Linked DNA regions of Coturnix japonica. The protein of the gene in region 1 purifies or fractionates together with the protein of each later gene. This does not show direct contact. Links are inferred from orthologs where the notes say so. Each region holds a gene or a part of one and is shown on either strand. Other genes may lie near its edges.

Region 1 (3,825 bases):
TTAGCTTCTCCCCATGTATGTGTATAAACGGAGCAGATGACTGATTTATAAATTACTGAATTTCTGTACTATGAATGTCTTTATGCTGTTTGTGTTCAATTCCAGAAGGAGAAGAGGAAGCCCATGTAGCAAAGAAGAAGGCACTGATTTCTGAGATCATTTCTCTGAGAGAACTGTGTGAAAGTATAGCAGCGAAGCATCCTCATCTACATTTCGAGTACAAGTAAGATCTCAGTGTCATTTTGAATTACATTTTCAGGTGCTGCTTGGTGCATTTAACACATGAATTATGAGACTATAAAAATTATTCCATTGAATCCTTGGCAGTTGTTTTTCTTGTACTGTCAGTGAATATTGATTCTCTTATCTGAGGCAAGTTAACAGGTTAGTAAAGTCAGGAAATTCTAGCTGAATTAGTAGGCATCAGTGAAGAGGACACAGTCATTCTTTAAATACAACCTTATCAATATAATGTGAATTTAGAAGTTCTGTAACATGGTGCTGCAATTCCTAAGTCAAGTTAATTAGCTGAAACTATAGCAGTCCAACAGACTAATCTGCAAAAACGTTAACAATTTTCAGTCCTGTCTGAGGTCTGTGAATAAATTTGCTCTGTGGAAGTGAAAGTTGTGTCTGTTTTTACAACATATATGTAATCTCATATGTGTTTTATTATGTAAAATCAACCAGAGCATATTCCCGTAATTGCGCTAATAACTGAGATCTGTGTGAACAAATCATACTAAACGCAGGAAGGACATTCCTCTGTTGGCTTTGTAACTGACTTCTTACTGGGAAGTCTCTTGCTTTGAAGTAGTTAAATTAATATTTTTTTGTTTATTTTGTCTAATAGAATTAGGGTTTCTTCTACCCTTGTAAATAATAGTAGTTTCTAATATAGTTTTTGAAGATGTCAGGAAGAGAACCAAACATGGTTGTCATAACTGATTTTGTTTTTCTAAGAAATCCAGAAAAAAATTGGAATCCCAGCTATGTGAAAGGCCTTGTTGTAACACTCATCACTGTGAAAGACATATCCACATCAAAAGCCCTAGAAGCAGTGGCTGGGGGAAAACTCTATCACATTGTGGTGGACACAGAGGTATGTGTGTCAATAAGCAAACGCGTGCTTAGTGTCTTAATGCCTAAGAGGTGATTTGGTCCCAGGTACCTACTTAATTTAAGTCAGCAAGTGTCATACATAGATACTGTTGATGAAATGATGCTACTGGAATGCCCTATTGTCTTAATATTTGAATATGCTCTGAAAGGTGGCTTTTCTCATTCTAGGCTACTGGCAGGAAGATTATAGAAAAGGGTCAACTAAAGCATCGTTACACCATCATTCCACTAAACAAAATTTCAGCCAAGTGTATTGGATATGAAATTATCTCACTGGCCAAAGAACTGGTATGTACATAAATACTGTGTTTTTATTGCATGCTTTTTTTTCCTTTTCAATTTTTTTAGCATAATGTAGCAGTCATACTATTTCTGTAGAGTTTGAGGGTTTCTTAATTTTTTTTCCCTCACTATCCTTGAACTATCCAGTATTCAGATAGATCTTAATTGTTTTGCTTTTACCTGAAATTATGATTTAAAATGTAAGAATGACTTAAAAATTATTTTTATCGAAATAAGATTCTTGTAACTTAAGACATACTAATTGCATTTCACTTTATTTCTAGATCGGTCATCTTGATGTGCATATAGCCATTTCGCTAATTGATTATAATATCGAACTACAGAAGGCCATGGAATTTGTCTTTGGCACAACACTGGTCTGTAGCAACATGGATAAAGCTAAGAAAGTGACCTTTGACAAAAGAATAATGAAAAAAAGTGTTACACTTCAAGGAGAAATATTCGACCCTCAGGGAACCCTAAGTGGAGGCAATTACTGTTTTGTATTCATATAATAATTGTGTTTTTGTTGATTTGTTTACTGCCCTGCATATTGTTAAAAATGGAAAGAGGCTTTTTTGTTGTTGTTGTTTAAACTCGTACTTGAGATAACATCATCTTTGAGAAAAGATTTGGTGGTTGTACACTGAAGTAAGACTACAGTTAGACTAGGAAAAAACCGATAAAATATTAGCATAATATAGTTTATGTATTAGATACATGTTTGGCTATTGAAACATCTTGGAGGAGGTTGGAAAGAGTGCTTTGAACTCAAACATTTTTTGGAATATTTCATAATTTATTTGAGGTAAATTCACACATGACAATATGTTAAGTTGGATGATTTCACTAAATTAATTTGTAGTCTCTCCATTGAGAATGATTGCTTAGCTGTTCTTCTGTTTTGCAATGAAAACAGATGATGAACTAAAACCTGCATCGTAGCCAGTATTTACAATTCATCACTTGCCAGAGTTGAATCTAATTCCAATCAGATTTAACTTTGTTCTTTTTTTCTCTGAACAGGTGCAAGCGCGCATGTTACATCTATATTGGTTAAACTTAAAACTATGAGAGAAGCTGAAGAAAAACTCAAAATAAAGAAGTCTCTACTTGAAGCTGTAGAGAGAGAGCTAGCAAACTTAAAGAATACAGCTGAAAAGTAAGGTTTGCGTAGTATAAATGTCTGTTATTTCTCTTATGTGACTATGTAACTGTTGGACAGATCGATATGATGGGAAAGATGTTACAACAAAGGTGTGAATCATAGGACCACAAGGTTGGGAAGGACCTACAAGATCATCTAGTCCAGCTGTGCTCCCATTCCCATTGCTACCACAAGCCTCTAAACCATATCTCCTAGCTCCTCATCCAGATGCCTCTTGGACACTGCCAGGGATGGCGACTCTACCACCTCCGTGGGCAGCTATTCCAGTGCCTGACCACTCCCTGAGAGAAAAAGTTTTTCCTTATGTCTAATCTAAACCTTCCCTGGTACAACTTGCAGCCGTTTCCTCAGGTCCTGTTTGTTGCCTGGGAGAAGAGGCCAAACCTCTCCTCACCACAACCTCCCCTTATGAAGTTGTAGGTGCAATGAGGTCTCCCTTGAGCCTCCTCTTCTCCAGGCTAAACAATCCCAGCTCCTTGAGCCACTTCTCATAAGTGTTGTGCTCTGGACCCCTCACCAGTTTCACTGACCTTCTGTGGACTGTCTTTTGTAGTGAGGGGCCCAAAACAACACAGTACTCAAGATGCAGCTTCACTAGCGCTGAGTACCTCTCTGCTCCTGCTGGCCACACTATCTCTAATGCAGGCCAGGATGCCGTTGGCTGTCTTGGCCACCTGGACACACTGTCGGCTCATGTTCAGCAGAGCATCAACCAACACCCCCAGGTCCACTTCCTCTTCACAGTCATCCAGCCACTCTGCCCCAAGCCTATAACACTGCATGGGGTTATTGTGGCCAAAGTTCAGGACCCAACACTTGGCTTTGTTGAACCTCAGCCCAGTGAACCAGCTTATCTAGATCCCTCTGAAAGGCCTCTCTACCCTCAGGCAGATCATAGGGAGGTCCTTCAGAGGGATCTGTCATCTGTGCAGTGACAGAAGGACCTGCATGGTAGAAAAGTGCTATAAAGGAGATCTATCAGAAGATAATAGGTTTGCAGGGAAAAGCTTCATCAAGGCAGAATCTCCAGAAAGTGCTCCTTCCCTAGTGATAGGGATAGTCAGCCCTTCAGGGAGGTCTAAGGGAGATGCAGCCAGGCTCCACCCCTTCCAGTCCCACAGGTGAATCGCTTTCATCTGTGCTCCCAGAGCTGACCAGGTCTTTTCCCCAGGTGCTCAATCAGTAGTTCAGGCTGGGACTCAACAGTTCCCATACACAGTATAAAGACAACTCACATAAACTAATTTTCTGGA
Region 2 (3,825 bases), on another chromosome or scaffold:
TGATTCTTACTACTTAGTGTTCTAATCAGCCTTAGGTAATCAGAGCTGAGAGTCTGTTCATTTCTACATTATATTCTGCAGTACAGATCTAGCAAATACTCTTTCTACCCCGAAAATGTTTGGATTTGTCAAAGACATTCCAAGCCTTTTTTGGAAACCCTCCTCTGAAGTTCTGGTGATCAGGCAAGAGATCCAGCTTCAGCAAGCAACCTCTTGAGTGATATTCTTACAGTGAGTGAGCAGCTTGCATCTAAAACAATCTTGTCATCAGGAGCTTATTTTCTAGGAGACTACAGGTTGAGTCAAAGTATCTCTATCCTGAAAACCTACGTGCTTTTTTTGTTGTTGTTTAAAATGTTATTTTAAAAAATCAACTTTAAAAGATTTCAGCTCTTCAGATGTTAAAATGAATAATAATTTTATTTGATTGAACTCCTGAAGCGTGGACAACAGATACGTTATTTCTAAACAGTTTGTCACACTGGTCAGTTTCTGTACGTCGTATTTTGATGTGTTGTAACAACTTCTGGGGTATTTCTGTGTTAAATTTGTCAGTTGCAGATTGTAAGACGTGATGTTTTTCTACTTCCACCTCTAGTGAAATGAAATAAATGCTTAAATTGATATAATTGAATCATACTTTATCTCTTAAATTTTGCATGATGTCTGTATGTGTACGTCATTATAGTGCACCTTTTATTTCATAGGATGACCGCTGCATAACTCCATTGGTTATCCTGGCATCCTTTATGCCCCCTGCTGCTATTCCTACATTCAGGTACTATTTTTAAATCCAAAATGCGAGTGGCACTTGTTGACTTGTGTTAAATTTTTCACAAGCTGACATTTTAAATGCCCATTTTGATAGATTGGATAATTTGGGTAAACTTGTATAAAATAATCTGCTAAATAAATGTACCGAGTTGATAAAATCTGCATGGTATAAATATATCTCTGAGCCACCTGCGTGTCTCTTTTGGTGGTATATTACTTGATTATCTGTGAATAATTTCTACAATGATAAATATGAAGTTAACACATCTTTTTCCTTTTATCTTTTCAATCTAAGCTGTGGTGTGATCTCCAAACTCAGAAACATGGACAGTGGGGCTGACCAAAGCAAATACTCTACTCTGATAGACTGTATGTGTCGCTGGGGTCAAGTGAGCCATGTGTTGGAACTTGCCTGTGACTGGTTGTCAGACACGCTAACCCCAAAAAAGGTATGGAGACATCAAGGAATTGTTAGATTACATAACTGCGTTTTTCCTTTGTTGTGGGTTTTTTCTTTTTTCTTTAAGGAGCAGCTTCTCACATGCTGTATTTTCTTTCTTTGAAATTAACTGTAAAAATTGTAAAGTACTAACTGTACCTTACTAATGTTGTGCTTCCTTCTCCTTTAGAATGTTAAAACATCAGAACGGCGAGTACGTATCCACGTGACACATGAATCGAAGCCAGAATTAGCACTTGATTACATTGAATATTTATTGACTCATCCTGTTAATCGTAGTTACCTACTCTCTGTTCCTAAAAAGAAACTGAACCATCTTCTGAAAGTTCTCAGTGCTGCTAAGGTAGTGTTATCCTTACCACAAGCAATGCTTATAAAAGAGTGCATCATATTATAGATTGCCTTTCTCAAATTAAAGCTCTGGGAATACCTAAGTAGGCTTTGTTACAGCTTCTTCCCCTTCTACTTCAGACAGATGTTCTAAACTGGAAGTATATTATTAGTTCACAATTGTTTATCGGTGGCAAATTTTAATTGCTTTTTCACTTCTAGGTGCCTCTAATTTTTGTGATCCAGTGTTGAGTATTTGTAAGGAACCTGACTTTCAGAATGTAAGGAATAGTCTTGAAAATCAGTTCTAGCATTTCACAATTAAAATAATTGAAATCAGGCTTCTTAATTTTGCCTTTTTGTTTTTTTTTTTTTCCTTCTTATTTTAAAATCTTCTGTTTAAAAGTGTTGAGAAAAACACAACAAAACTTTTTTGAAAGATTTTTCTGGCAAATATAAATGTGAACTTTGATATTTCAGGAGATTCTTGGCTCAGTTCTGAAAACAATTGAAATGAATCGTGGTAGCTGCAATCAAGGAACTGGCTTAAGAGCCTTCAGCCTGTGTTGCAGGTTGAGTATTCATCTTCAAAACAAGGTATGTTTATACTTTATATTTCAGTATAAGCAGGAGTTAAAGCTGACAGTCTAAGGAAATTCCAAAAGAATTGGAATTCAAAAGTTTATAAACTTCTAATTTTGTTTTCCAGTTTTCGGAAGAAGGAAAAGATTATCTGTCACATCTGCAGGACATGGGAGCTTGGGTAGAAAGTCACATTTTACCTTTTCTACTCGCAAGTGAACAAGAGGATGGAATTTCAAAACAGAGTAATGTTCCTGAATTAATAATCCAGGTTAGAGGTCCCTTCTCACATAAATCAAACTACCTCCAGCCAAATAAGTGGTATATGTAAACTTCAGGTTTACAAACACTGTTATCCAAAATGTCCAGTGCATTATAGAGGATGATTTGGAAGCCCAGGAAGGTCATGTTATTGTAGAAGAGGTTTTAAATCTAATCGTGTTGGTTTGCTTTGCTTCCTTCTTTCCTTCCTGCTTTCCCAAAAGAAACAGGTAGAACTATATCCTGAGGAATTAATTCAGCATACTTAATTCTGGTACTGAGTACCAGGAAACATATCTATGGAAGTCAGCAGAGTGAGAGTGGGAGTTCCCTGGGAATTAATGAGGGAGTAGTGAGGAAGTGAGTCGTTCACTGACTTGGATTCGCACTGCTGCAGCCAAATGACTTTTAGAAGGCTCTAAAGAGGCATTAAGTAAGTGCTGTAGTTGTTCCTGGGACAGATTAATTGTGTGTTTAATAAGCTATTGTCTCTTTTCAAAATGAAATAATTGACATGCATGCTGCAGCTCTGGCTATTTGTCAAAAGATTGCGGTCATAGAATTCAATCTTACAGAAAGACAAGACACCAAATAAAGAATATGTACCAGAATTTCTAGAATGTGTTTGATCAATTTCCCAGGTCTGAACAGAAACCGAAAATGAATGTACTGATAAAAAATGAAATAGGTAGTTATCAACAACAGAACTGATATTCTGCATGATGAGTCAGTAATAATGTTCCTTGTTAGTAGGTACACAGAAGGCACGTGATTAGGTAATATATAAGCAAATTTTTAATTGTCTTCTGTTGTATTTCCCATATGTCTCACTTAACATAGTGCAGATTTTACCACTGAGCTGTGGGTCTTTTCAAATTCTAGTCAAGGGAAAGATTCGGACAAACTTTAATCACAGTCTGTGTCTTTGAATGGCCCAACTCATTGAAATGCTGGCTGATTAACAAAAGAGAATTAAATGATTCCTTGGATTTTATATTCTTATTGCTTCTCACTACTACTGAACTGTTGTTTTTTATAGTAATGTTTTTGTTCTGATTTATTTCTGCTTCTCTTTTCTAGGCCTATCTGTCAATCTGCAAAGATGTCATAATGGTTGGTCTTGGAAATGTCAAGTTTCAACTGCACTTTTTAGATATGGCACTTTCAGTAATACAAACAGGTACGAAATATAGTGCTAACATCAGCACCTTCACACACAATTAGGTGACATGTTTGTATATTGACAGAACTGTTGCTTTTTTGTTTTGTGGAATCTCTTTCTCAAAAAACAGTATTTATAGTTGATGCTAATATCATTCATATGGTGAGAAATAACAACAGCTTTTCAGCAAGTTGAAAACAAGCAGAGAAACTGTCCAGCATCTTATCATTGTTGGTGGCTGATGTTTTTTCCTTGC

The links.
Region 2: the proteins of SMC2 (region 1) and NCAPG2 purify together in Homo sapiens (affinity purification with western blotting; 4 studies listed by BioGRID and IntAct, with this or other methods). This does not show direct contact. The link is inferred for Coturnix japonica from reciprocal best matches to the Homo sapiens genes SMC2 and NCAPG2.

Annotation. Positions count from the first base shown.
Region 1 is NC_029547.1:59,009,062-59,012,886, reverse strand, and holds part of SMC2 (structural maintenance of chromosomes protein 2), read left to right. Parts: intron 1-105; coding exon 106-223; intron 224-963; coding exon 964-1,102; intron 1,103-1,290; coding exon 1,291-1,410; intron 1,411-1,688; coding exon 1,689-1,893; intron 1,894-2,430; coding exon 2,431-2,566; intron 2,567-3,825. UniProt on the Homo sapiens protein: Central component of the condensin complex, a complex required for conversion of interphase chromatin into mitotic-like condense chromosomes.
Region 2 is NC_029517.1:8,484,597-8,488,421, reverse strand, and holds part of NCAPG2 (condensin-2 complex subunit G2), read left to right. Parts: intron 1-707; coding exon 708-778; intron 779-1,069; coding exon 1,070-1,223; intron 1,224-1,403; coding exon 1,404-1,577; intron 1,578-2,044; coding exon 2,045-2,161; intron 2,162-2,273; coding exon 2,274-2,417; intron 2,418-3,487; coding exon 3,488-3,587; intron 3,588-3,825. UniProt on the Homo sapiens protein: Regulatory subunit of the condensin-2 complex, a complex which establishes mitotic chromosome architecture and is involved in physical rigidity of the chromatid axis.